Mus musculus: one gene and its partners. The protein of the gene in region 1 interacts with the protein of each later gene in a pairwise test. Links are inferred from orthologs where the notes say so. Each region holds a gene or a part of one and is shown in the gene's direction. Other genes may lie near its edges. The genes, in order: Maged1, Smap2, Bhlhe40, Rbfox2, Ccdc33, Rbfox1 and Car8.

Region 1 (3,945 bases):
GCGGTCTCGCTCCTGGAGACTGCCTACTAAGAGGAGCACAGAACGAACCTAAAGGGTCCCCACACATGCCAGGCCTCCTAGAACACAAGCCTTATTCCCATGGAACAAATATTGGGGAGAGGACAGCTTGTTATTCCAATAGAGGTTGAAGGAGTGCCCCTGTTCTCAGACTAGATTTTACACTCAGGAAAATCCAGGCCCCTCATGGATGGTTTTGTTTGTCTTTTAGATCAAGTCTCAGAGTTGCACAGCTGGCCTGGAACTCAGGGCTTTCCCTGAGTCCCCAGAGTGCTGGGATTACCAGCCTGCGCAGCGGTGCTGGGGCAGGTTCTGGCCTTTCTGTGTGGTACCAGCTCAATGCCCCGGGCTTCTGCATTAGCTACCTGGTGTGTTAAATGAGAATGTTGCACTCCATCCATCTCCCTAAAACAGCCTGCAAGAAAAACAAGCCCCAGGGCAGACCCCACAGCCCAACGCCTTTCCCTCACCTCTCTAACCCAGCCCTCAAAAAGGGTTTCGATGGGCAAAAACTGCCAAAAGGGCGAGAGAAAAAGCTCATTTTCTGAGTCCAGTGAGAGGAAACCTATAGATCCCCCCCCCCCCCGGGCGACCCTTGCTCCGGTATCTCTGCAATGGTTTTTTTTTTTTTTCTGGCCTTTAAGGTTTCTGCGTCGTAGAGTGGGTGAACTCAGCAGAGGCCTAGCATGTTTCGAAATAAGAGACCCCCGCGGGGGGCCTACCTACGGGGCTCTGCACACGGGGGTGGGCGGGAGCTGCGGACCTGGCTAGAGAGAGTTCGGGAAAAAGGGCGGGACTGAGCATAGACGCATTGCGGAGAAAGGTAGGGGGCTGGTGTGTCGGGCCAGGGGGTGGGACCGAAAGGCGCTGCGCATCTGTTGAAGGAGTGGATGCGTAAGGAGAAGGGGAGGAGGAACCTTTGTCCACTGTCAACCTGGTTGGCGGTGGGATAGTGTGCTGGCAAGGAGGCGGGCTCTCCTCCAAGTGCACATGCGCAACAATGGCTCTGGGATGAAGCTTTTGTTGGGAAAGCAAGCGGGACTCTTATTTGGACAGTGATCTGCTGCGCATGCGCGGCGCGTCCAGAGGCGGTGGGTGGTATATTAGGCGGAGAGGCGGGGTCGCCCGAGCTGCCGCGCTGGCATTTTCTCCTGGACGCGGAGAGAGTGCGGGTGCCGAGAGCCGGACAGAGCCATTCCCGATCCTCTTGAGTCGCGAAGAAGGAAACAGCGAAGGGATTGGGGTTCGGCCCTGAGGCAAGGTGAGGTTCGCCCCCAGACGGGGCATCTGCCCCCCTGGCGCGGCGTCCTTCCGCCATTCTTTTCTCCCAGTCCCTTCACCCTGGATTCGGAAGCCCCCTGCTCTGCCTGCTCCCGGATTCAGACCCTGCTCCCGACCCTTTTCTAATTTGAAACTCCGTCCGTCCCCCTGAATCTTTTCTCCAGTTCCCTCCCCGAATCCTATTTCCCGACCTTGATCCCGTTAGATGGTTCCTCTGAATTCAGAACCTTAATTCAACTTTTCGGACGCCCGTGTCTCCCCGCTCGCCGCCCTCCCTCCCCGCCCCCGTAAACTACCGCATCCACAGCTCCTCTCTGACTCCAAAACGGCAGCGCTGAAGCTTTTCCCTGGCCGCGTCTGAGATTGGAGATGGTCTAGCGGGACGACCGGTTACTTTTCCCGCTCCGCTTAGGCCTGGTTCTCCCCCCGGACTCGGCACCTCACCCGCCCCCAGAATCAAAGCACACACGCACACAGAATTCGGTCCTATGTCTTTTCCTTCTGTAGTGTAATGCCCAGCTCCTCTCTCCCACACCCCCCCCCTTAGGCTCTGCTCTTGCCAGGGAGACGAGAGCTATGGCTCAGAAACCGGACGGCGGTGCAGGCCTCCGCGGCTTCCAGGTGAGGACCCCGCTCCCAATTCCCCCATTTTTCCCCTGCTGACAGTTTACGCCCACCCCCGGCCCCTTAGGTCGCGCGAATGGCAGGATCTGATTTTGCCCTTCTTCCGGCCTAGACACCGCGGGCTCTCAGATTTCTAGCGTTTATCGAATGGGGGGGAGGGGCGGCCCTTTTCAGCCATCGGTCCCTGCTTAGAGAAAGGGGAGACCCTGTTAGTCAGGGCATTCTGCCCAGAGAATGCGGGTTGGGTAAGGAACCATTTTTTTTCCATAACCCTGACGCGTGTAGAGCAGTCTGTCGCCCCATCCCCCAACCTCTCGCCTCCACCCTCCCTTTCTCCACGCCGCGAGACTCCCCCTCCACCCTCTCGGCTTATCCTCCTTGATTCCTCCCTCCTCGGGTCTTGAGCTCCCCACCTCAAGCCTAACCAGTCCGTCTCTAAACCCATTTGGGGCTCAGAGCTTGCACCACATTCCGCACCAGCCCCTGCTGCCACAGACTGTCCCTCACCTTGCCCTGCCCCCTCTACCCTTAATTAAATTTTGTTCGCGCCCCGCCTCCCTTTGACCCGCCTCTGCCCCCACGTCTGAGTACTGTGACGCCTGTCTACAGCTCCCCTGCTGCGTTGCGCCGCGCCCCCCCCCTCCTCTGGTCTGCCATGTAAGGCTCAGAGATTGAAATGTTGCCCCTCCTGTGTTTGCAGGCTGAGGCCTCTGTTGAAGACAGCGCCTTGCTTGTGCAGACCTTGATGGAAGCCATCCAGATCTCCGAGGCTCCGCCCACCAGCCAGGCCACAGCAGCTGCCAGTGGGCCAAATGCTAGTCCCCAGAGTTCACAGCCCCCAACTGCCAATGAGAAGGCTGATACTGAGGTTTCAGCAGCTGCTGCCAGGCCTAAGACAGGCTTTAAGGCCCAGAATGCCACCACAAAGGGGCCAAATGATTACTCTCAGGCACGTAATGCCAAGGAGATGCCCAAGAATCAGTCTAAGGCGGCCTTTAAGTCACAGAATGGCACCCCTAAAGGTCCACATGCTGCCTCTGACTTTTCCCAGGCAGCACCCACAGGCAAATCAGCTAAAAAGTCTGAAATGGCCTTTAAGGGTCAGAATAGCACTAAGGCTGGCCCCGGTACCACCTACAATTTCCCTCAGTCTCCCAGTGCCAATGAGATGACCAACAACCAGCCTAAGACAGCTAAGGCTTGGAATGACACTACTAAGGTCCCTGGAGCTGATGCCCAGACCCAGAATGTAAATCAGGCCAAAATGGCTGACGTAGGGACCAGCGCAGGTATCTCTGAAGCTGATGGTGCAGCAGCCCAGACATCAGCAGATGGCTCCCAGACTCAGAACGTGGAGTCCCGGACTATAATTCGGGGCAAGAGGACCCGCAAGGTGAGATCCCAGCTAGCTTCCCTTTGCTTTGGGCTCTCTCCTTTCTTCCAATTTCCTTGGCTCCAAACACAATAAAGGGCATGGATTTATCTGTATTTTGGCACAGTTGTAGGGGGTGCTAAGGTAACTATTATTCCTGAGCCCAGGTTGTCCACAGGCTGATGATGAGTTGATACAAGGACACAGGCAATATGTGTGTAGGCCATCTTACATTTTGACATTAAACACCATGTCTTAAGCTAGGCAGGCTCACACAGAATCAATTAGATCTTGAAGATGTACCTCACTCTCTAGAGAGAACAGAGTCAGGAAGAAACGAGTTCAGGGTGAAACCAAGCACTGTCCGTAGTCACACAGGAAAAGGAGAAATCTAGGTCCCACTTTCTGTTTGTTTGTTTGTTTTTTCCTTTGTCTGGTTTGGAGATGAAACGCCTGTCTGAAAGACAAAGAGAATCAAAGTGACCAGTGGCTAGTGAGGTGTAGGTGAAGATTCCTAGGTACTTCCTAAGATAGCAACTGGGAGGACCCAGGATTAATAGTGACCCTGAAATTTTCTTCTCTCTAATTATACAGGTTAATAACTTGAATGTGGAAGAGAACAACAGTGGGGATCAAAGGCGTGCCTCACT
Region 2 (4,056 bases), on another chromosome or scaffold:
TCTATTACTCTAGCCTTCAGAAGAATCCCTTAAGAGCAAATATCAGGAAGTAGCGTTCTCTTCCCCTTTAGCACATCCTGTTTTTTCTCAGTCTCTTTTAAGAATTTGATGAGTGAAGGGACGGAATGCATACACAGGAAGATGGCCGTGGGTTCAAGACACTATTTGTAACAAGAGAGGCTTTGGAAAATAATACCTAATAACCATTTTTAAGTAGCTGCTTATTCCATGTTACCCTATAACTGGCTCTCCCCCAAACAACCTGAGAGATGGCTCAGCAGGTGAGAGAGTTTGGTAATCTCTCATAGGACCCTGGTTCCTTCCCCAACACCCACATCACACACCCTCATCCATCAGCTGAAACTCCAGCTTCAGGTACTGCAATGCCCTCTTCTGGCCTCCTTGGACACCTACACACACACACACACACACACACACACACACACACACGCACGCACGCACGCACGCACGCACGCACGCACACGCACACGCACACGTACGCACTCACACACGCACGCATGCACACACACGCAAGTAAAGGAGGCTAGGTATGGTGGCACATACCTTTAATCCCAGCACTTTGGAGGCAGTTCTCTGTTAGTTCGAGGCTATCCTAATCTACAATATAAAGTTCCAGGCCACCAAGGGCTACTTAGGAAGAACCTGTTCAAAAAAAAATTTTTTTTAAAGGAAAGAAAAGTTCTGCCTAGACACTAGTCAGAGCGATGCTCAAAAAGGGCAGTAGTCACAGAGAAGACTAATGTATATCAGCGGCAGGAGGCATTCCAAGTTAGAAGTGATCACGAGGGAGGGTGTAATGTCTCTTTAACTCGGGTCAGAGGGTGAGTCCTTTTGTCTCTTGAAGGAAAGACTAACCTAAAGGAGTCTGGGATAGCCACAACCCTTGTATTATATAAGGATAATAAACACACATCTTATAAAGGTTGCTGTGAAGAGCATACTGTGATAATTGATAGAAAGCGCTTAGAGCAGTACATGGCACACAGTATGAGCTCTGTAAATGTTGGTCGTTCCCTTCACTTTATTCTCTTCACTCTCCTCCCTCTCCACCCGGCTTCATTCATTCTTTTCCAAGGGCACGCAGGGGGCGTGTCCTCCCTCCCGCCGCTTCCACCTAAGCCCCGCCCCCGGCTCTTCCCGGATTGGTTCCTAGGAGGCGGAGCCAAGGGGAGAGCCCAGTGCAGCGCGGTGGGCGGGGCGCATGCGCGGGTTGGGCTGGGTGGAGGAGGAGAGGAAGAGCTGCCGGAAGTAGGCGGTGGAGGTGGCGGCTGAGCTGGTCGCAGCTGCCAGGGAAACCGAGGCGGGAAGCACAGCGGGCAGACCCTCAACACTCGGGGTCAAGTGTGCGTCCCGCACGCCTGAAGCCGGGAGCTCGCTCCACCTAGGCCACTTCTGGGGTCCCGCAGCCTCCGCGAGTCCCTGCCTTGCCCGAAGCCCGCCAGGGGGCGCCGCGCTGAGGGGCTGAGGGGCTGCGGGGCGGGGGCGCTGACGGCTCTGACCCCGGGGCTGCTCCGGGCCGGGCGAGAGGACCGCCTGGGCGGGGACCCCAAGGCCTCAGCCCCGGACAGAGGCAGGGGTTCTTGGGGGGTGCAGGGGGCGCGTCGCCCTCTGCCCCCGCCGGCACCCTGGCCATGACAGGCAAGTCGGTGAAGGACGTGGATCGGTACCAGGCGGTCCTGGCCAACCTGCTGCTGGAGGAAGATAACAAGTTCTGTGCTGACTGCCAGTCCAAAGGTAACGCATCCGGGGCGCCGGCGGGGGGCCAGCTGCGGGGCGGCGGCGTGGCGATGAGCTGCGATGGCCTGAGTGGGGAGGGGGTTCTGGAGCTCAGGGCGAGTCCTCTTCGTATGACCACGCGAGCCACCCTCGCTCATGAGCTTGCTGGGTTTCCTCGGGCTTGGGACTTGGGGTTTGGTGTGGGCGAGTGTGTGTGTGTGTGTGTGTGTGTGTGTGTGTGTGTGTGTCAGCGAAGTGGGGATGATATAGTGGGGGGTGGGGTTGCCCGGTGTGTTCAGGTGAGACTGTCTATGTTGCAGACTCTGAATGGCTTCTGGGCTCGCTGTCATGCAGAGCTGGCAGCCTTTTACTTGGCAAAGCTGTGGGTGAGCTGCAGTGTGGTGGGGGTGGCGGTGGGGGTGACGAGGAGGAAGGTGAGATGACTAAGAGAAAAACTGTCGAAATGATATTTAAAGGTGGCATTCCTTGCTGTCTGCTATGTCGTTAGCAGCTCCTGTCATTTTACCACCTTGTTGAGCTCAGACCGAGTGCTTAGGTGGCTTTCTTCACCCAGGTCGTGTGCACTGAGAAACAGCTACCTTATGCAGTGACACAGTGCGGATTTCTAGGTAGTCTAGCCTGGGTTGTGGAGGCCTCATGCGTGTGTGGTGAGCGAAACTAGCAGACCTGGACTGTAGTGCAGGACCCGTTCAAGCAGGGAGAAAAGGAAGCAAGGAATTCCCCCAATTCGTTATTTCCCTGGTGATTACACCTTTAGAGAGGAAATAGAAATTGGCCACAACCACTTAGCCTTTGTTTTCTGTGTCTGTAAAGGTTCATGCTGTGTTACAATTAAAGGTCAATATGGTAGAAAATTTACTAGTGAATTCTGTACAGCTTTGTAGGTAGGAGCAGCTATAATTGGGAGGGGGTATTTACTTTAGTTCATTTCCTGAATTTGCCATGTAGCATATGGGTATAAAGTAGTATAAAGCATTCAGATGTGTGTGTGTATTAATGTTGAGAAAAGCAATAGATACTTAGCCCATACTTCATGTGATTATGGTTTATTTTAGAGTAAGGTTATGTAAGGAGGGCGCAAGAATGATGATGCATTGATTTAGACTCCTAGTAATAAATTTTAGTGACCTCTATCAGTAGGCAAATGCAGTGAACTGTCAGCAAAGCAGGTCCCCAGACTTCTCTCGAGAATTTTTGCGTTAACAGGAGTTCAATTTATGTTGAGGAGTCGAAATTTCTTGTAGCTTGATTCTTGTTAGATCTACTGGAAGGTTTGGTTTACAGTGTAGGAGCACCTTTGGTCTACTCAAATCCTCTGATGTCCTCATTGACAATTTTAAGTCGCAGCGAGGCATCCACTGAGCAGAAACCATTGTTGATGATTTTTAGAACCGCCCCCTCCCCTGTACTCATGTTGTTTGTATGCTTACTCATCCCAATAACATATACCATGGGGAAGAGACACGTTAATTTACCAGGTCTTCCTCCAAATCTCCCATTGCCCTTTATTAATAGCCTTACTAGATATAATCAGACATAGAACTTCGTTAATTCCTGATGAGAACTAGTAACTGGGGCCTGCGATAGGGCTCAGTGAATAAAGGTGCTTGCCACTAAGACTGACAACCTGAGTTTGATCCCCAGGACTCACAGGGTAAGAGGAGAGAACCAGCTCCCATAAATTGTCTCCTGACCTCCACGTGGACTCTAGTACATACATGTACAATCTCCACAAAGTTAATAATTAAGATGTAAAAACAGACGACACCAACAACAAAGCCTAGTAGCTGTCTGCCACTGATACTAAAACCTTGGATCCTGAATGTTCTGAAGTTAGAAATTCTCTTCAACGCGTTTGCCACTATTAAAAAAAGAGATGCCCACGTGTCCATTATCTTTCAGTTCTGTCAAACAGGCTTTTGCAGAGGCCTGTTTATCTAGCTGCCGAATGTTCAGCCCTGTCTGCCGGTTAACCCCTCCTTCATTCTCTTCCTCTTTTCCACTTTCAGGTTTTGTGATGAACTCGTAGGCAGTTCTCAGAGGGTAGGAAAGAGAGATATTTGCATTAGTAGATCATGACCTGCTCAGCCCTGATAAAAAGGACCAGCAGTTGGTGGAAGAGTTAGAAGACTGTTCACTGAAATAAGATTTGAGTTTGAGTTTACTTTTCTGTTTTCCTCTTGTCCTTTTCAGAAAATTGAGAGCTCACCAGACAAGGTCTGGAGAGTTCATCTATTAGTATTTAGTGTATTGATGTTGCCTGGACTACAGACCTCTAAGTGGATACTTTTGTAATGT
Region 3 (4,089 bases), on another chromosome or scaffold:
GGATCCCATGCAGATCCCTTGCAGCCCGGTGCGCGGGGGTCTAGGCTTGGAAGCCAGCGCGGAGAGGCTTGCAAGTGAGCCGAGCTCCGGCCCGCGTCCGGGCCACGTGAAGCGTCACGCCCCGCGCTGCTGCAGGGCAGGCGCCGTCGCCGCGGTTGTGTAACGCTGCAGCCGGAGGGGAGGCGACCCGGACGCCTCTGCATCGGAGGGGGCAGAGGAGGGAGGGAACGCCGGGCACTGTGCCCGGTATCTTTCTGTGCTTGACTAGCCAGGGTGGGTGGGGGCAGTGAGGCACCCTGAAAGGCGGGAGGAGATGGGTGCGCGCCAGTCGGGTGCCAGGCCACCCGCAGGCTGCGCCTGGGACCTGAGCTCCCGGGAGAGTCCGGGGTGGGGGTGGGGGGAGGGGGTCGGCACGGCTCACACGGTCCACGGTCAGGTGCGCGCGGCGTGCTCGGCGGCGGCCTCGGCTGCCCTAGCTCCTGGCCACCAGCCCGCTTCCCATGGGGTGACATCCGCCCCGCCCTCGGTCCCTCCCCAAGGCGGGCAATTCCTGGACACTGAGGCTGAGCGCTGGGGGGGGGGGGGGGGGGGGGGCTGGGAAGCCAGGACGGAAAGAAACCCCAGCCTCTGGAGAAGGCTAAGGGGGGCCGACGACTCCCTCAGCTGCGCACCGGTTCCTAGGAGCGGGCCAGGCGGGGGAGGAGGAAGAAGGCTGGGCTGGAGCGACCAAGGGGATATTCCTCTCCCGGCTTGAGTCAGACGCGGGCGGAATCCGTCCTCCCCCGTTCCCTCCCAGGAGACGGGAACTTACTTCATTTCCCTGGGGCAGGTTCGCCCACGTTACCAACTCTTCCCCCCCCCCCTCCAGCTCCCCGGTTCCTTCCAGCTTCCGTGCCCCCCACCCAGCTGGGCAGGACTCTGGCTGCGCTGCCACCCCCTCTTTCGGGGAAAGGAGGCCGCAGCCGCAGACACCTGGGGGCCCGAGGTTTGGAGGGGGGGGGGGCACTTCGCAGCCGCCAGAGCGTTGTCCAACACGTGAGGCTCATGTGATGAAGCCGGGGGAGGGCGGGCAGGTCGCTCCTTCCCTCCCCGGCAGCGGCCAGACGTGCTTGGAGTCACAGGGTAGAACACGTAGCTTCTACCCACCCACTCGCTCCCATTTAACCCAGCCCGCAGCCTCTCCTTACTCCTCGGCTCGTCCCCTCCAGCAACTCCCCCCCCCCCGCCCCGCCCGCTCCGCCCTGAGCAACCCCCCCTTCCCTCCCGCCTCTCCGCCCGCCCCACTTCTCATTCACTTGGCTCGCACGGCGCAGACAGCGCAGCGAGCACACACCGCCAGTCTGTGTGCAGAGCGGGAGCCAGAAGCCGTGGGGACACCCGGCCATGCACGCCCCCAACTGAAGCGACACCTCAAAGCCGCTGCTCCTGGCATCCCAGCGCATTGCAAGGAAGCTCAGGCTAGCTCATAGGAACATACCTCTTGAGACCCTCGGATCCTCCCTTCCAGGGCAGCCCTTTCTCAGACTCTACTAAGTGCAGACAGGAGCGCACAGTGGCCCCTGCTCGCCGCATCATGGAACGGATCCCCAGCGCGCAACCACCTCCTACCTGCCTGCCCAAAGCTCCAGGGCTGGAGCACGGAGACCTGTCAGGGTAAGTGTGTGCTGTGATCCCTTCAAGTCTCCACTCCTAACCTTGTGTTCCGCGACACTCTCAACTTGGGGCATCTCTGAGAGTATAGGGGGCTTCTTTCACGTCTAGGGCTCCTGCAGCTAGTACGCACTCGGGAGTCACGGCTTTTTCTGACCTCTCTCCCTGCAGGATGGATTTTGCCCACATGTACCAAGTGTACAAGTCCAGGCGGGGAATAAAACGGAGCGAAGACAGCAAGGTAGGTGCATCCCTGGGAACCTCATTCCTTAGCCCCTCGTGTGCGCTGAGTTTCCAAGAAAAGTTTGCTTGTTTCAAGGTTGGCTGGGGGGTTCAAGATGAGATGAGCTCATTGCCACAAATGAGTGACTTGGGAAAGAAGGGGCAGAGAAGGTGAATCTGGGTGCGTCTCTGCGCCCTCGCAGAATTTTTCCCCCCTGCTACCGGTTGGGAAGGAAGGGAGGAAGCTTCGTTCCCTTCCCCGGGCACCCATTGCTTCCATGTATTCCATGCAGGAAACTTACAAACTGCCGCACCGGCTGATTGAGAAAAAGAGACGTGACCGGATTAACGAGTGCATTGCCCAGCTGAAGGATCTCCTACCCGAACATCTCAAACTTACTGTAAGTGAGAAGCTGGCTGCGCTCCAACCCAGTTCTTCTGCCCAGAGGGCGGATGGTGGGGTGGGGGTGTCTCTCGCCGCCTGCAGGCGTCACGGGGAACTGCATGCTAGACGGGCGGATCAAAGCTTCTGGTTTGGAGGGAACCCATCCCCAGACCCAGAACTTCCTAAGCAGAGGCAGAACCAGAACCATCTGGGGCCTCTTTAAGTTGGCTTCAACACTAACACAGCTTCCTTTTGGTAGTTTTTTTTTCTCTCTCTCACCACCTTGTAGTCTCCCTGACTTAAAGAAGCAAACCACGAAATTAAAAACTTAAGCCTTGTCCGCTTTTCATTTACAATAGGACCTACTTTATTTAATGTGTGCCTTTTTTTTTTTTCGTCATAATCTTTACTGGTAGCCAAAAGCTTTTTAGCTTTTCCTTCGGGAAAAGTATTTGGAAAGGAAGACAAAAAGCCAGCATGACTGGAAGTTCTGAACAAGTGTCAGGGGGGAAAGAAAGAAAGAAAGAAACGCAACACATTGGGAAAGCCACTTGGTTGCCAGACACAGTAGACATCCCTCCCTGGGTTGACACCACAGCAGATAAATGTTATCCCCGGAGTCCCCTAAGTTAAGGTCAGGGCAGCTGCTGGAGAAATATATCTGTCAGCTCACTCCCTAGACTGTAACAACTACCAAAATGCCTCCAAAGATAGACAACACGTGTCTGGCTTTTTTTTTTTTTTAAGCTTTTGATCATCTATGTGTATATGTTAAAACATCTGCAAACTTTAAATTTAGTGGAGCAGGAAAGACTCTTCCTATCTTTGTTGTTGTTGACACCCAATTCTCCTAACAGATAGTGTCAGAAGGGACTCCACTGACCTCACGGGTGACAGACTCTCCGTTTTTTTCTTCTTCTTCAGACTTTGGGTCACTTGGAAAAAGCAGTGGTTCTGGAGCTTACGTTGAAGCACGTGAAAGCATTGACAAATCTAATTGATCAGCAGCAGCAGAAAATCATTGCCCTGCAGAGCGGTTTACAAGCTGGTGAGTCCCCGGCCTGATTAGTGTCTCCTGAGAGCTCAGTGCCAATCTAGCCCCTGGGAGCTCGCTCTGGCTTCTGACTCTTCTGTTACCATTCATTTTTCACAGTCACTGGGCAGGGGTGGGGGGGGGGGAGATGCTCTTCTGATTCTTTCCTAAAAGGTCATATTTTGCCATACGGAATGCTGCTGTGCGCCACCTGAAATGAGTCCATGTTAGCCCAGTGATGAAATGTTTCGGTGACATTTTGAGAGTGTCTAGGTTATGGGAGACTTCCCCATCCCCCTTTAAAATGCCAAGGCACCTATAATTTGCATTGTGGGTGTTTTTACAGTTGGTCTGATGAGCCCTCATTCATGGGCGAACAGAACACGGGTCTGCCCCCAGTGTTTTCCTGTTTCTTTGCTTCCTTCTCTTTGGATGTGGGGTGCAGTCTTGGCAGGATGACAGCAGGTTTTCTTTTTTCTTTTTTTTTTTTTTCCTCTTGCCTGCCTTCCATTGTGGTTCCCTGAATAGCCACCAGGTATCTTGGCAAATTGCACAATCCAACGAAACCACTGCTTTCATCATTCATTTATCCTGAGTTTCAGAGAATCGGGGTACAGACCAGGGGGAATCCTAATATGTACCCCAATAGGCGTTCTTCAGTCCTGTCCAAGGCTAGAATGAGAATCACAGAAACCAAACCAAGCCAGTATGTCTGCCAGTTTTCTTTCTAAAAATAGAAAGTTGATCAGGACTGATCTCGGGGTGTGTGTGTGTGTGTGTGTGTGTGAGCTACAGTATA
Region 4 (3,500 bases), on another chromosome or scaffold:
AATGTCTTCTTCAGTTGCTTTCCACCTTAGTTTCGAGACAGGATCTCTAATGGAACCTTGTCTTAGTCAGGGTTTCTAGTCCTGCACAAACATCATGGCCAAGAAGCACTTGAGGAGGAAAGGGTTTCCTCAGCTTACACTTCCACATTGCTGTTCATCACCAAAGGAAGTCAGGACTGGAACTCAAACAGGTCAGGAAGCAGGAGCTGTTGCAGAGGCCATGGAGGGATGTTCTTTACTGGTTTGCCTCCCCTGGCTTGCTCAGCCTGATCTCTTATAGAACCAAGACTACCAGCCCAGAGATGGCACTACCCACAAGGGGACCTCCCCCCTTGATCACTAATTGAGAAAATGCCTTACAGCTGGATCTCATGGAGGCATTTCCCCAAGTGAAGCTCCTTTCTTTGTGATAACTCCAGCCTGTGTCAAATTGACACACAAAACTAGCCAGTACAAACCTGTAGCTCACCTTTTGGCAAGACTGGCTGGCCAGCAATTCCAGGGATCCTCCTGCCTCTGCCTGCCCAGCTCCAAGTACTTCAACAACTGAACCATCTTCCCAGTGACTGGTTGGTTTTAGAAAGGCAGGCCAAGTTTGAAATCTGAGCCTACCTAAGCTCCCAGGGAATAAAAATGACGCTTGTAAAATGCTTAAAAGCAGAAATATTTTTGGCATCCTAGTTAAACTGGGGAATATTCTTTCAAGTACTTCTTTTTGTGATTGAGAGACTGTCTGAATGGGCTGCCTTTAGAATTTGCAGGCTGCTGTTTAGGTTATGCCTGTAAATTGGAGTCAAGATTACCAAATGGAAAAATTAGAATGAAGTTGAGAAAGGAATGGGAAGACAACAATAAAAATACCTTCTCTTTCTACATTGCATGGACTTCATCCTAGAAAGATGGTAATAATTCACCTTTCCAGGTGTTATGTGCTTAGCTGCCTAGCCTAGAATATAAAGCATAGGGGCCGGAGGTGTGTAACGAATACTTGCTGGTTGTTCCTTGTCAGATTGACACAAACTAGAGTTCTATGGGAAGAGGTATCAGTTGAGGAATTGCCTCTCTCAAACTGACCTGGAAACATGACTATAGGCCTTTTTTTTTTTTTTTTTTTTTTTTTTTTGATTAATCACTGTGCGTGGTGACACCCTGGGTAGGTGGCCCTGGGTTGTACAAGAAAGCAGGCCAAACAAGCAATGAGGAGCGAGCCAGTAAGTAATGCTCCTCTATCAGTTCCTGCCTCTAGGTCCTTACCTGCGTTTAACTGATGAGCCATTTCTTAAGCCCTACAAACAAAATTGCTTTTAGAGCTGTGTGCCTGGGTGTGTCTGTGTGTGTCTGTGTGGGTGGGTGGGTGCGTGCACACGCTCGTGTGTGAACGCCTGCTTGCCTGCCTGCGTCTGTGTGCTCTTATGTAGTGGGTGCACGTGGATATGCGTGCACATTCATGTGGAAGTCCAAGGTTGATGTCAAGAATATTCTTTACCACTTGATTAAGTCCGGTGCTCTGTCTTGCCTCCATGACAGACTATGAACTGCAAAGTGAAATGAACTCTTTTCTCCCCTGAGTTGGTTTTGGTCCCAGCAATAGAAAGAAGTGTAGGGCATTGGTCTCCCAGAGAATCTGAAGGGAGTTCCCAGCACCCATATCAAGCAGCTCACAACCACCTGTAACTTCAGCTCCTGAATGTCTGGCGCCCTCTTCTGGCTTCTGTAAGGACATATACAGATATATACATACACATACATTTTAAAAATAATACAAATATTTTAAAAGCATTTCATGATGTAGAAGCAATCCTATCAACTGTCATAAGTTGGCTGGGAGCTGTTGTATTTCCCTTTCAACTTAAAACTTTGAAATGTGAACTGAAAATTGATTAGAAAACATTCTTATATTATTTTTATTAAGAATGTTAAATGACTTCATATTTCTAATAAAAACAATAGCCATAATATATGTGGTAGAGTGATTGCTATAAAACATAAAGCATTACTCCAGGTCTGTTGTCTTTTTGGTTTGGTTTTGGTTTTGGTTTTGGTTTTTGATTTTTGATTTTTTGAGGTAGGGTTTCTCTGTGTAGCCCTGGAACTCACTTTGTAGACCAGGCTGGCCTTGAACTCAGAAATCAGACTGTCCCTGCCTCCCAAGTGCTGGGATTAAAGGTGTGCACCACCACTGTCCGGCCAGGTCTGTTGTCTTAGCATATAGACAGCTGTGTAAGTGTTGCTATCAGTCACATTTCCCTAAGTCAACAGGAGCCCTGTTCCCTGATGGAGGATTGCACCCTCTTATGGGCGACAGTCCTACCGTGGTTACATCTCGCTGTGCCTAGACTATGGGTATACCCTAGAAGCATTTCCTGCTCCCAATCCCCACCACTAGTTGATGTGTTTGTTCAGTTGACTGGGCCAGCTCTGGCAGAAATGGCCCTGTGGGATGATTGATGCTGTTTGCTTGTGGACCACAGTCTCACTCCCATCAGGGATGGGGTGGAGAATGGCGGTTAGAGTTCAAGAAGAGCAGCGTCAGAGACAGAGGCAAGTTCCTTGGTCCTAATCTAAACTTGGAAACTGTGTCTTTAAAGCTTCATATGTTTCTTAATAGACCCTTTCTGAAGATTTCTGAAAGGCAATCCTTAGGCTCTGCTCATCTATTAGTCTACCTTAGTTTGAATTTTTGTCTGTTGCACACCTGTTTAAATGCTAATCAGTCTTGACCTTGGAAGCAGTATATTCTGCCACCAACTATGGGTACAGGCAGAGCACCAAATGATTTGGAAGAGATGATCAAATATTAAGCTCTTGGCTATCAAGATGGCTCATCAGGTAAAGAAAGGTACTTATCACCAAATCTGAGTTTGATCCCAGGGACTCATGTTGAAGGAGGATGTAGAATCAAGTTGTCCTAACTCCACACCATACCATAATGCTCACAGGCAAAGCACACATAAAATTAAGTTTTATCAGTTGATATTTTTTAAAGAATGAAGTTATCTGATGATCCTAGCAGTTTCTTCCTGAGCGGGGGATAGTGAGAGAACATGCTAAGAGTCCTGTGTGATAAAGATTTATTCACTCACTCCTCTTTCTTTTCTGTTGCTTGCTCTAGGGTAACCAGGAGCCAACAACAACTCCTGACGCAATGGTTCAGCCTTTTACTACCATCCCGTTCCCACCACCTCCACAAAATGGAATTCCCACAGAATATGGAGTGCCACACACTCAGGACTATGCCGGCCAGACCAGTGAACATAACCTGACCCTCTACGGGAGTACGCAGCCTCATGGAGAACAGAGTAGCAATTCACCCAGCAACCAGAATGGATCTCTCACGGTATGTGAAGTCGGAGATGCAAGGTAGAAGGACGTGTGAAATTTTTACCTTCTCGGAAAGAAAGCGCTTTGAGTTAGTTTAGCATTTCTACTCACTGCCCAGCATGCATGTACTGACTGTTCTTTCCTAAGCCTTGTGGCTGGACAGTGGGGAGCTTGAACTA
Region 5 (3,978 bases), on another chromosome or scaffold:
GGTGGCGGCGTGGTGGTGATAGTAGTGGCAGCAGACTTAGTCTCTTTTGAATAGTGTCTAGGATCCTCTGATTTCCATTGAAACCCAGGACAAAGAAGCACAGACTCTAGACTGACAACCTAGCTTTGAGAGGCCAAGTTCTCTGTAAAGCTGTATGTCTTGTATAAGGTAAGCTGGTTGCAGAAGCAGACATGGACCATATATTCCCTTACCCTGGAGACCTCTCCCATATCCATACTAAGGACTCCCAGGTAGAGACAGGTTCCCCAGAAATGGAGAGTTCTGAATACCACATACTCATGTGCCCCCAATTTTCTATAGAATGTATGAAGTAGATCATCTCTTAGCACACTTGAGAATTTGGTTGTGTGTGTATGTGTTTGTGTGTGTGTGTGCATGCATGCATACATGCTGTGTGTATGGTTTAAGGATTTATATATGTTATGAGTACAAATGTGTGTACAAGTACACATGTGTATGTGTTTGTATCTGTGTGTATGTTTGTGTGTACAGGTACACATGTGTGCATGCTTGTGTGTGTGTGTTTGTGTGTACAGGTACACCTGTGTGCATGTTTATGTATGTGTGTTTGTGTGCACACATACACATGTGTGTGTTTGTATGTACAGGTACATGTGTGTGTGTGTGCATGTAGATACCAGAGGTCAACCTCAGATGTTATTCCTCAGGACTCTTACTTTTTTTAAGACAGGAACTTACTGATTCTCCTAGATGGACTTCCTGCCTGGGCCTTCCCAGGACTAAAATGATAAGCATAGCATACACAACCATTCCTAGTTTCCATGGGTCCTGGGAATCAAACTCAGGTTCTCATGCTTGTGCATCAAGTACATTACTGACCGAGTCCCAGCCCTGATCATTCATTTTCCATATTTCTTGTTTATCTTTGTCTTCTCTACCCATTACCTTCACTAGAAGACAGGCTTCAGGAGGGCAGGAATGTGTCTATTTCACTGCTATATTCAAAATGCCCAAGACAGCACCTCATATACAGTAGGTTCTCAATAAATATTTACTGAGAGATCAAATGCTAAATGGGAAGAATTAATTGATGCCTTTGTTCCCCAGTTCAGGCTCAGTTTCCTGGCTTGTTGCCTGGATCCTTCTCAAACAAACAGAGAAGGGTGAGGTGTGGCCCCAAGTGCCTAATCTGTCTTCTTTCCGACTGGACCCAGGATGGGACTGTGAGCAGGAGAGGGCAGGGCTCAGCCTGGAGTTCTGACCCTGGCTGAAGCCATGGCCTTTAGAGGTCCTGATCCCTACCTCCCTGCATCCCTGCTGAGCCAGCGACTGAAGGCTGGAGAGAAGACACTGGACCTGGAGTTTGAGATCTTGAGTGTGGGATTTAATGAGGAGGGCCGGTACGCCCTGAGGCTGTCAGCTGAAAACCCACTGCAGGCAGGCTCCAGTGCTGGGGTGCAGTTGCAAGTCAATGATGGGGACCCCCTTCCAGCCTGCTCAGCTGTCACTGAGGTCATTGAGCAGCAGGATCCTGGCCAGAGCCTCACCTTCACCAGGAACAAATTTATCTTCACTCTGCCCAAAGGTACAAAGTGAAGTCAAGGGTTGGGGGGGAAGCAGGATCTTTGGGACTTCTGCCCTAGAGCTGATCAGGACCCTGGGGGACTGCAAGGGACCTGGACAGCCAGAGGCAGAGCTCCAGCCTTAATTCTAAGCTCTGCCTGTGTGACTATGTGGCCTTGGGCAAACGCTGGTCCTGTAAGGTTCCTGCTTCCTTCAGCGTGGCATGGATGCTGAAACTGTTCTCATAGAGGGCAAAGGTGAAGAGGAACTAAAGGGGGATGTGAATTTGATAGAGACAAAGCCCACAGCATGTTTAGACCTAGGCAGTGAACGGTACATGGATGAAGTGATGCTAGAAGCCCCCTGAGTTCCTTCTGATTGTAGGGATAGAGACTGGACAGACATGAATGGATAGAAGATCCTGGTCTTACTTTCTGGGAGCTTCCAGACTGGGTACAAAGAGGCAGGAATTTTAAGTCAAAACTAGCTAAGTAATCTAGAAGATCCAGGCTTAGACAGAGGACTTACCAGACAACAGTCCTGGTGTATATCCCAGGCTAAGGTTAGCCAAACTCTTCCCTGGTGTCAGAACCCAGAACAATTCCATGGGCTATAGGCCTCCTCACTCTGGTGGGGTCACATGAGGCATAGGTAAACCAAAGGAGTCTTGAGTGAGGGCTGAGAGGAGTCAGCCACAAGGGAATTCTTAGCCGAGCTCACTTGGATTCAGTTCAAGTTGCCCCAGGGCCCTGGATGTCCTTCTCACCCCTTGGAGAAGGGAGGGAGATCCTAAAGACCACATTTAAAGCCATGTTCTCCACCCAGGGTTCTGTAAGAATGATGGGCAGAGTGATGCACATCTGCGTGTGGAGGCTCTGAGGCTGGATGGATCCTCAGGACAGGAGGCTCAGAGGGTAGGTGAGGCCATCTTCCCCATTTACCCACGACCAGATGAGCCCCGAATGAACCTCACAGCACAGGATCATGAAGACCTGTACCGCTATTGTGGCAACCTGGCTCTTCTCCGAGCCAGCGAGGACCCCACAGCCCGCCACTGTGGGGGCCTGGCTTACAGTGTGGCCTTCCATGTGCACAGGGACCCTAGGTCCTCTGTCTCAGACTGTCAACTGGAACCCAGCCAACCAGAGCTACAGGTAGGTGCTCCTGGGTCCCAGTTCAGGACACAGCCTTTGATGAAACTGGCTGTCTGCAGCCCTACAGTCCCCAACCTCAATCTCCTACGTTCTCAGCAGACTTCGAGGGAGGCCCTGAGTGACAAGATAGAAGAATCTTATATGAGCCCATTCAGCACTGACAGTGACCAGGAGGGGCTCAGCTGGGAAGCAGGACCCTGGCAGCATCCGGCTCAGGTGAGGGGCACCAGCCCTTCTGTGGGAGGGTTCCCTACTACGTTCTCTCTCATTTAGGCATCACATCCAATTGAGAACTCACAGAGCAAGCAGTAGTTCATTGCACAGATGGAGAAAACACACCTCAGGATTCTAGGTTCCACGAAATGTCAACAGTTACTGGAAACCTCAGGACATACATAGTAGCGTGTGGTACCCAATGCCAGGACAGCCACTAAGTATGGAATGTCACTAGAGCCAATACATTTGGATAAAATATTGGTATTACACACAGTCCTTGACACTGTCATGAAGGCTCTGAAAGGGGTCAGGGTGTAAGCCCAGGACAGGCTTTCTCAGAAGATGTGTCATTTTGAAAGGGCTCTTTGCTTCCTTCCTCACTCATTTACGGGCTCCTCCATCCTGTATTTGTCTTTCAGACTAGGTGAGTGAGGTTTACGGGTAGCAATTTGGAGAAGGTTCCATGGGTGAGGTCTAGTATAAGCTAGCAAAGAGAAGAAGGTGGCTCAGTCAGCGGGCAGCAGAGGGACGAGTTGAGATGGAGCTCAGAGCTTGCTCTCTCTCCCTCCCCCCTCTCCCTCTGCCTTCTCTCTCCCTCCACCCCCCTCTCCCTCTCTCTCTAGCTCCTCCCCGCCCACACACTTTTCTTGCCTGGCACTGAGTAGAGGCAGGGAGGGAAACTGAGTTAGGTCATGGAGAGGTTCAATAGGGAAAGAAGTGGGAGGAGCTGAAGCTATCCTGGCACCGAGCAGAGGGAGGTATTCAATTCTGGAGGCAAAAGGTGAGGTGTGGGAGGGGCCTGTAAGGACAGGATTGTATGCAAAGTAAGCAGGCAGCATGTGACAGGGACCCAGAAGCAATGCTCTCATCCAGGCCTCTAACATGGCCCACTCTGACCTTTGTCCATTCATTTCTCAATCAATGAACACACCTTTCTGACCTACTCCTGTGCTCAGCCCCAATCCGTTCTGGAGGCTAAGTGTATGGACGAGATGGACAGTCTAGGTGAGGCTGAAACTCCCTGTGCTCCTAGCCTGGGCCCAGCTCCTCTGTCTAATGCTAT
Region 6 (3,970 bases), on another chromosome or scaffold:
GCGGTTTAAACTCAACACTGCTTCCTACTAGCTGCAAAGTGGCTGCCTAGTGTGAGTCTGGATTCCTGTTGGGTACCACTTTGCTTCCTGGGTCTGGGAATTAGCCCCTGCATCCGAGATGTGGAAGAATGGAGCTCAATAACCCACAAAGCTAATTTACTCAGATTTCAGCTATTATTTTGTTACTCATGAATTGCCTTTTCAAACTGAAATTGGGTGAAGAAGGGGTGGAAAGTGAGCCCACTGTTTTGAGACAGTTTCATGTAGCTCAGGCTGGCCTTAAGTTTGCTATACAGCTGAGCTCCCAATTTTTCTATACCAACTTTCTGAGTTCTAGGATTATAGAGGCTATCCACCACATACTGAGTATTCTTAGATAATTTTTGATCAGCTACCCACATGAACCTGCTAGATTTGAGTGTTGTTGTTATGGTTGTTGTTGTTCTTATTTGTTTGGTTGTTTTTGGTTTTGTTCATAACTGTGGCGGAATGGGTATAGGTGTGAAAATGTATGTGCTGTGTTCAAAGGGTGACCTCCAGGTATCTTTCTTTATTGCTTTTTACTTACGCTTTGAGAGAGGGTCTTCCACTAAACCACTGTACATGGAAGTTTCTGTTTGGCTATGCTGGCTCGACAGTTGAGACCCTGCATTCTCCTGTCTCTGTTTTCCCAGTGCTAGGAATGTGTGACACATTGCCTGATTTCTTACATAGGCACTGGAGATCCAAATTCCAGTCCTCAGGCTTATATGGTAGTATACAAACTCACATAACAACCAGTTGCAATTTAGAACTGAAGTCTAGGCTCTGGTGATGATTTTTATGTGGGTAAATGTTTAAGTTCTTTAAGTTGCAACTGATTGTCATGTAAGCTTACACATTTCTATTACTTATTCTCTCTAAAAATCTCATGCAGACCCAGCCCCTTGCAATTTGGCCCAGTTCCTCAGGACAAATGCCTTCTCTTTTCGCCTGATTCCCTGTCACTCCATCTCCCTTGGTCTGAGAACTAAATTAATGAAGAGTATTTGGTTAGTCATGTTGGGCGAGCTGCTCCCAAAATAGCTCCTTCCATTTTGGTAGCTCCGACCGACCCTGCAGCTGCCGCGTCCCTTCCTTGTCTGGGAAGAAAACTTTCACATTAAGAGTTGCTGATGCAGGGTTTTGTTTCCTTTCCCTCTCCGCTGCCTGTGGATGAGCACTTGGCTCCTGACAGAAGTGATTTGGCTCTCGGCTTTGTAGTTGAGAAGAAGTTGGGTCTATAGATTTCTTTCCCCCTCTAACTCTCTATTGATGTGTTCAGCCTTGGAGGGAATAAAGCCTCCATTTAAAGCATGTTGGCGTCGCAAGGAGTCCTTCTGCATTCTTATGGCGTGCCCATGATTGTGCCTGCTGCCCCCTACTTCCCGGGACTGATGCAGGTAATTCATGGCTTTTGCCAGCAAGCAACTTAACTCCAGAATGCTCTAAGTAATAATTGGAATTTTTATGGTTGAGAAAGCAAACACTTTTAATACAGGAAGAGAAAAAAAAGCCCTCGTGTAGTCAAAGGAAAGACAGTAGGAAATCAAAAAGATGGATCACCTTAATCTGGCTATTGACATCTCTCATGGATGAATAAATGGTGTAGTTGAGCTGTATTTGCTTGTATTGATCTGGGTGCTGTTTAACATTCATGCCTTTGCTTCGGGAGGTTGACCAGGGGGCAAAAGATTTGCTCTCTTCCCTAGCTTTCTGAGGGACTGGGTCTCCCAGAGCAGATCATGAGGCTCAGTAACTTATCATGATATGGCTTGCTTAAAGGCTTTAACCCCGGAAACAGAAGGGCAGGAAATACAGAGTGCTGCTGAGGACACCCCACACAGGTTGTTGTTTGCAGAGAAGCTTCCCCTTGCAAATCTGAGAGGCGACCCACAAACAAGAGGGTACACTGAGAATGGTCTCGCTAGGAAGTTCAGAGGTTATTCTGCAAATTCGATGCCAACTGTTTGTATTCTCGGCAGCTGGGGAGAAGTTAGGATGCCTGTTGTTTTGACTGCTAAGGCTATTATTCTGTGTACCGAGAGGTTTGTGTGCTAGCGAGAAATTGGACCTGTTTCTTTGCCTTATTGTACCTCCTTGCTGTCACTCAAACCCACTGCTTCTGGGTGTACGCCTGCAGTTCTCTGGGAAGCCAACATCCACTTGTGATAGAAGTGGGTCATTGTAGGAAGCAAGTGGCTATTTGTTGCTGTTCTTTAGAAATAAGCAACCCTAAGTAATAAATCCTAAATCTCCTTTCTATGGGAAAGGAAAATTAAATATATGCAGTACAACACTTTAGCTTTTTTTCCTGTAGCCCCACTCCCACCCAGCCCTCTCTGAGAGTTCTACAAAACTCTAATTCATTAATGACGACTTCTGTGGAGGATTGAACAAATATTCTTTTTATTCTTTGACTGTGACTGTGACTGTGACCTTCTATTAACTGTCAGAAGCTGGGTGGCAGAATGCACCCAGACGTCAATCCCGATAGCATCAGAACTGCCAATTACCCTAGATGTATGGATACTATTGCTACACTTCTATGTTATAGGTAAATAGACCAGCAGAGAATGGCCCTGGCACCAAGGAAGGGAACTTGTGGCCAGATGGTGACATGAAACTTAGGACTTGAAGGTGAAGCAGAGTAACAGTGCTTTTGGCTTCTGTTGGAAATTTGGGGTGAAGGTCAAAGGCTGGAGTTTTGTCGGCCCCTGTGCTGCCCTATCCGATAAATAATTACAAGCAAATCGCTCATTTCAGTCCGTGCTGATTGATGCTGAAATTGCTTTTGAAAGTTCTCATAAGTTCCTGTTATAGATTAAGTGCTGGTGCAGGAGAATAACGGCACCCACAGAAATGGGTGAATGTAATCAGGTTTAATGGACTCGAGAGCTTGTTGGGAATTAAATAACTATCGATTTGCTGGGATGTTTCTGTCATTACAAAATGCCACTCTGAACGTATTACCCCAATGATAGATGAGAAGACGCTAGAACCAACTGCAAAGCTGGGAAGGCACTATTTCTTCCTCTTTGGCAAAATGTTCAAGAAACATAACTGGTTAGTGTGGAATGGAGCAAGTTATTTTACTTGCAAATGTTAACCTGATCCATTCTCATTTGTTTCCCAAAAGGAAACTTCTGAACTAGTGACCTACAAGTCCTTCTGTGTGTGTCAGTGAGGAGCCTCCGATGAGCTACTGGGACCCACTGCACCCTTCCCCTCTCCTCCACACAGAGCACACTGCAAGGCTGTGCACATGAAGGTGCTAGCCTTCTTGCTGCTTTGTGGAGGCTCAAAGAAACTAAACCCCCTCCCATTGCAGTTTTGTTCTTAAGGAAAGGATGTGGTATGATAGAATAGGTAGGAAATTCTAGTGCCTCTTTACCTTTCAGCTTGCACTTCCTGCCCTAGCTACCTTGGCCCTTAGCTTGAGGAGTTTCACCCCGAGTCAGGAATAAAGGCCCTTTTGCCAGGATTCAGATTTCTTTAGCAACTTAGTGATTCCAGCAAGACAAGAAAATGAAGAGGACTATGGACTCATCTTTGCTAGGATCCCTTGTGCCTGCATAGTTGGGAACAGCATGAATGGTTATGTGCAAGGGCCACTGGCGAGCTGCTTGAGATGCTGTTCACAATTTCACAGTCTTTCTAAACTCAACAGCCAACAGTTCTGTGGCCAAAGATGTTCCTTTTTGAATTGCTGCCTGAGACACTTTTGAAATTCAGGCCAGTGTGGCTTAATTTTTCTGCAGTTAAAGAAAAAATAATTTGCATTTTTTTTAAGTTTTAAGAGAGTACCTGACTCATGCTACAGTCAGTACCTACAGATGTGTCCTTACGTGTCTAGTGAGGTCCCTCTCATGGCCTCTTCTTTAAAGTCAGTCCCATAGTTAACATGGGATTTCCATTCCTACTTTCTGTTTCTCTGGAAAACCAGTGTCAC
Region 7 (4,034 bases), on another chromosome or scaffold:
TCTTCAGACAGTGGAGGAGTAGGTCAACTGATGTTTTTCTCCTTAGCCTCCATCCACTTCCTGAAGACGTGATACGATATTTATTTTTTAAGTTAAGGCCCCAACAGGCAGTAAAGGATAGCAACCCGGCACCTTAAAATTTCCCAGCTAATCAATCACCCCCGCCCTGTTTGAGGAACTCGATGCATCCATTAATCTCACAGACACTGTGGAGTGTGCATGGGCTATGTAAAAGGCAAAGCATACTGCAGGCCTGAGTACTAACTTACTATGCAAATATATCTGCTATCGTGGAGGAAAGGAGCTTAGGGGTTACTGAACAGGGCTGGAACACCAGGATGAAGCATTAGCCTGAGGTTGGGACACACGCTTCAGGGGTAACGACTTGACCTCTTTGGATCGGGGAAAGTTCCTGTTTGTTTCGTAATGTGTGTGCATTTCATTATTTGCGCGACTTCACGAGGCGCTTGGGAGCGGTGTCCACAGCAAGGTGAGCCTGCAGCAGCACCCCAGACTTAGAAAGTGGAACCAAACACCCCATTTCATTGTCTTTGAAATATATTTAGTAAAAATTTCTCAAACTATACCTATGTCTAGTTGCTAAATTATTTTTCGTGAAATGTTTGTTGGACTTATTTTGGGAAAAATAAAATCCATATTCATTTTCCCTGTGTTTTAAGGACGGATTAAAAAGTAAAACTCGCTCAGATAAGCTGCCACCACCACGCTTGGCCCCATGGTGGTGGTGCATTCTTGCAAGCCCAGTGTTTGCAAAGTGGAGCGAGCCCTGTGCAGTTCAAGGTCATCCGCTTCTCCACTGGGAGGAGTTTGAAGCCAACCTGGTCTCCTTGAGACCCAGTCTCACAAAACCAAACCCCAACAAAATTGACCGGTAAACGATGGCCAATAAACCATTCGACCAGGGAGTCTTGTTGGGTTCCCGGTCTCAATCCCGTTCCCAAAGCAAGGCAACTCCATTGGGAAAATTGTTTGGAGCAAGGGGAGCACGGGAGACAGGGCGGATTTTGGAGTCTCCAGGCTTTTGAAAGGGTATTAGGACTTGGGTGCAGCAGGCTTCCCGTGTTGCTGCAGCCCCAGTTTGATTTTCGCAGGCTTGCCTGTCCCGATTGTGGGGTGAGAGGGGGTGTAGGTGGGAGTGTAGGGCGGGGGGCGTGTCCTCGAGTCAGACACGCCCCCACCGACCTTAAAACGCGCAAGCCTGCGCCGGACCGCTGCCTCTCGCGCTCGCGGGGACTGCCACGCTCAGTGCGGTCCCCAGCCCCGCGCCTGCCGCTCCCGCACCCGTGTCGCAGAGCTGCCCATGGCTGACCTGAGCTTCATTGAGGATGCAGTCGCCTTCCCCGAGAAGGAGGAAGACGAGGAAGAGGAGGAGGAGGAGGGCGTGGAGTGGGGTTACGAGGAAGGTAGGCTCGTGGGGCCGCTGTCGCGGCTGCTACGCCCCACGCGGTCCCCCACTTGCCCCTCCGTGGCTGCCTGAGTGCTGTTCGCACCTGCTGCACCCAGGCAGCCACATCTCCCAGCCTGGAGCAGACGTGCAACCGAGTTGCTTTCTAGTCTTGGGAAGTATAACCAAACGCACTTCAGAAAAACCGTCCCGAATTGCAGGCTGGATCTTGGGGACTTTAAAAAGAGTTTTCTAAATCTGTCTTCGCAGATCCAGGGCTTCGAATAGTCATTAGTGCCCGCCCATGTTTCCTGTATACACGGAGAAAAGAGCAAAAGAACTAATATGTATGGGACACTGTATTTGCATTTTAAACAAGTGGCGCTCATTAGCGTTACAGGTTTTCTGTTGTCTCTGAGCATGTGGGGCTTTGAGGAAATTTCCCAGTACTGCACATAATTGAACTGATGAGCAGAAGAAATTTCTGAGGTATCTTTTTTCTAGTCACTTCAAGATGGCATAAGTTTCTTAGATCCCTACATCAAAGCGTCTGTATGCACAGACAGTAGAGGATTTTGTGTGTGATATTTAACAACAGATCACTCACGTAATGAATGTAAAAACCCACACACATTTCTTATATTTCATCTACATACAGATGATAGTCACAGCTATAATGTTAAGGATTATGAGATTTTTGTGTTATATTTTACTGTCATTAACCTTAAAAAAATCCAACCTAGTCTCATTTTGTCTTCAGGTGTTGAGTGGGGCTTAGTGTTTCCTGATGCTAATGGGGAGTACCAGTCACCTATCAACCTAAACTCCAGAGAAGCCAGGTATGACCCCTCACTGCTGGATGTCCGCCTGTCTCCAAATTATGTGGTGTGCCGGGACTGTGAAGTCACCAACGATGGACACACCATTCAAGTCATCCTGAAGTCAAAATCAGGTAATTTGGAACACATGTTTCTGCACTTTTATAAGCAAGCTCTGATTTAACTTGTATGGTTTTAAAGGCGACACCAACACAGTTTCTATTTTCATGGTCCTTATAAGTTGCATTTTTCTGGGAATTATTTTCTAATAGAGTTCTCAGGGGCTAAGAGGGTGAAGTGATGATTATCTCAGCTGGCTGTTCTTCCAAAACTGTGCCTGGAGCTGCCTCTTGCTCAAACAAACATTTACTGAGCTATGAAGGAAGGAGTGCACACACAGGCTTGCGGAATTGGGTCTTTCTGCTGTGCGTTTTGTTCTAAGTTACTGATTAGCTGAAATCATTTAATTATAATGTCTTTTGAAAATAGTTTGTGAGACCAAAGATTGGGATGTATTGATATCACCTGTGTTCAAACTTTTCAAATTAAAGTTCCCTTCTCTATCAATGACAAGAATAACTTTAATGTTGAATGCAGTCCGATATTTAAGTGGCAACTCAGTGCTTGCTTTTGGTTATTGTTAACTCACTCACTCTTCTTGAACCTTGCCGAAATGAATCTGAAATGTTTTGTGGAAAATGCAATTTCTGGGAGAATTGCTTTCCAGCTTAAATGTAGGAGAGACAAAAACAGATTTAAAAAACATTAGCACTAAGATTGTGTTTTTCATGGGGAATAATGACTATTTTTCCTCCTGGAAGGAATGTAACATTAGTGTGTTGAGTGTTGATGTGTTTTACAAACAGACTGTGCTTACATTAATTCCAAATTGATCAGCTAGGTATTTCAAACCATGAAACCATTAGGTCTGTCATTAGGCAAAGAAGATATTTATTCCTCATCTTGTTTCACAGTTTCAATTCGAAATCCACCAGGCAGAGCCTGTATTCTTTGCAGTTATTGGTAGTTTAATTGAGGTGGGGACAGCTCCTGAAAACAGTGTGTATTTTATATGGAGCTAGTAAACACACACACACACTCACACACATTCACACACACACTTACATTCACACACACACTTACATTCACACACACTCACACACATTCACACACACATTCACACACACTCACACACACACAAACACACTCACAAACATTCACACATTCACACACTTACATTCACACTCACACACACTCACTCACAAACACATACTCACACACACACATTCACACACACACTCACACAGTGAACTTAGATTTGAGCTTAAATCAGAATGCTTTGGAGATGTTTATCTCTGGTCATTACATATTCTATACTTCTGTATACTTTATATATTCCTGGCCCCTCCCCTCCTCTGACCTCCACTCCCGAGCAGAAGGAACTGCTGCCTGTAGTTTTGTCCTGACTTGCAAGGCTGGATCCAGACTTCATTCTCTACTTCTTTCTGGACCTTCCTCCCTCAGGGGCCCAGTCCTCTCCTGTCACTACAGTGATTTCTCCCTTTTAATGTGTCAAGAAACGTCCTGCGCACGGCGGTGCACACCTTTTAATCCAGCACTGCAGAGGAAGAGGAAGGTGGGGTCTCTCGACTTCCAGGTTAACCTGATCTACATAGGGAGTTTCAGCCATGGCTACACAGTAAGAGCTTATCTAAAAAAAAAAAAAAAAAAAAGAAGAAGAAGGCAAGTGACTGGAAAAAAAAAATCTCTTAATTAGTTTATTACAGCTTCTCTAAGGAATTGTCTTTAAA

Evidence for each region.
Region 2: the proteins of Maged1 (region 1) and Smap2 interact in binary tests that used the Homo sapiens proteins (3 or more experiments, as listed by UniProt). The two-hybrid records come from large-scale screens. The link is inferred for Mus musculus from reciprocal best matches to the Homo sapiens genes MAGED1 and SMAP2.
Region 3: the proteins of Maged1 (region 1) and Bhlhe40 interact in binary tests that used the Homo sapiens proteins (3 or more experiments, as listed by UniProt). The two-hybrid records come from large-scale screens. The link is inferred for Mus musculus from reciprocal best matches to the Homo sapiens genes MAGED1 and BHLHE40.
Region 4: the proteins of Maged1 (region 1) and Rbfox2 interact in binary tests that used the Homo sapiens proteins (3 or more experiments, as listed by UniProt). The two-hybrid records come from large-scale screens. The link is inferred for Mus musculus from reciprocal best matches to the Homo sapiens genes MAGED1 and RBFOX2.
Region 5: the proteins of Maged1 (region 1) and Ccdc33 interact in a two-hybrid assay, tested with the Homo sapiens proteins (2 studies listed by BioGRID and IntAct). The two-hybrid records come from large-scale screens. The link is inferred for Mus musculus from reciprocal best matches to the Homo sapiens genes MAGED1 and CCDC33.
Region 6: the proteins of Maged1 (region 1) and Rbfox1 interact in a two-hybrid assay, tested with the Homo sapiens proteins (2 studies listed by BioGRID and IntAct). The link is inferred for Mus musculus from reciprocal best matches to the Homo sapiens genes MAGED1 and RBFOX1.
Region 7: the proteins of Maged1 (region 1) and Car8 interact in binary tests that used the Homo sapiens proteins (3 or more experiments, as listed by UniProt). The two-hybrid records come from large-scale screens. The link is inferred for Mus musculus from reciprocal best matches to the Homo sapiens genes MAGED1 and CA8.

What each region holds. Positions count from the first base shown.
Region 1 is NC_000086.7:94,539,226-94,543,170, reverse strand, and holds the start of Maged1 (melanoma-associated antigen D1), read left to right. Parts: upstream 1-1,145; 5' UTR 1,146-1,279; intron 1,280-1,846; 5' UTR 1,847-1,875; coding exon 1,876-1,920; intron 1,921-2,623; coding exon 2,624-3,316; intron 3,317-3,889; coding exon 3,890-3,945. UniProt on the Homo sapiens protein: Involved in the apoptotic response after nerve growth factor (NGF) binding in neuronal cells. Inhibits cell cycle progression, and facilitates NGFR-mediated apoptosis. May act as a regulator of the function of DLX family members.
Region 2 is NC_000070.6:121,014,448-121,018,503, reverse strand, and holds the start of Smap2 (stromal membrane-associated protein 2), read left to right. Parts: upstream 1-1,256; 5' UTR 1,257-1,652; coding exon 1,653-1,755; intron 1,756-4,056.
Region 3 is NC_000072.6:108,659,340-108,663,428, forward strand, and holds the start of Bhlhe40 (class E basic helix-loop-helix protein 40), read left to right. Parts: upstream 1-1,289; 5' UTR 1,290-1,573; coding exon 1,574-1,653; intron 1,654-1,821; coding exon 1,822-1,891; intron 1,892-2,165; coding exon 2,166-2,273; intron 2,274-3,181; coding exon 3,182-3,305; intron 3,306-4,089. UniProt on the Homo sapiens protein: Transcriptional repressor involved in the regulation of the circadian rhythm by negatively regulating the activity of the clock genes and clock-controlled genes.
Region 4 is NC_000081.6:77,132,554-77,136,053, reverse strand, and holds part of Rbfox2 (RNA binding protein fox-1 homolog 2), read left to right. Parts: intron 1-3,112; coding exon 3,113-3,337; intron 3,338-3,500. UniProt on the Homo sapiens protein: RNA-binding protein that regulates alternative splicing events by binding to 5'-UGCAUGU-3' elements. Prevents binding of U2AF2 to the 3'-splice site.
Region 5 is NC_000075.6:58,116,024-58,120,001, reverse strand, and holds the start of Ccdc33 (coiled-coil domain-containing protein 33), read left to right. Parts: upstream 1-1,178; 5' UTR 1,179-1,257; coding exon 1,258-1,567; intron 1,568-2,370; coding exon 2,371-2,699; intron 2,700-2,795; coding exon of another isoform or gene 2,796-2,798; coding exon 2,799-2,915; intron 2,916-3,978.
Region 6 is NC_000082.6:7,068,665-7,072,634, forward strand, and holds the start of Rbfox1 (RNA binding protein fox-1 homolog 1), read left to right. Parts: upstream 1-1,170; 5' UTR 1,171-1,334; coding exon 1,335-1,421; intron 1,422-3,970. UniProt on the Homo sapiens protein: RNA-binding protein that regulates alternative splicing events by binding to 5'-UGCAUGU-3' elements. Regulates alternative splicing of tissue-specific exons and of differentially spliced exons during erythropoiesis.
Region 7 is NC_000070.6:8,236,242-8,240,275, reverse strand, and holds the start of Car8 (carbonic anhydrase-related protein), read left to right. Parts: upstream 1-1,234; 5' UTR 1,235-1,321; coding exon 1,322-1,424; intron 1,425-2,165; coding exon 2,166-2,357; intron 2,358-4,034. UniProt on the Homo sapiens protein: Does not have a carbonic anhydrase catalytic activity.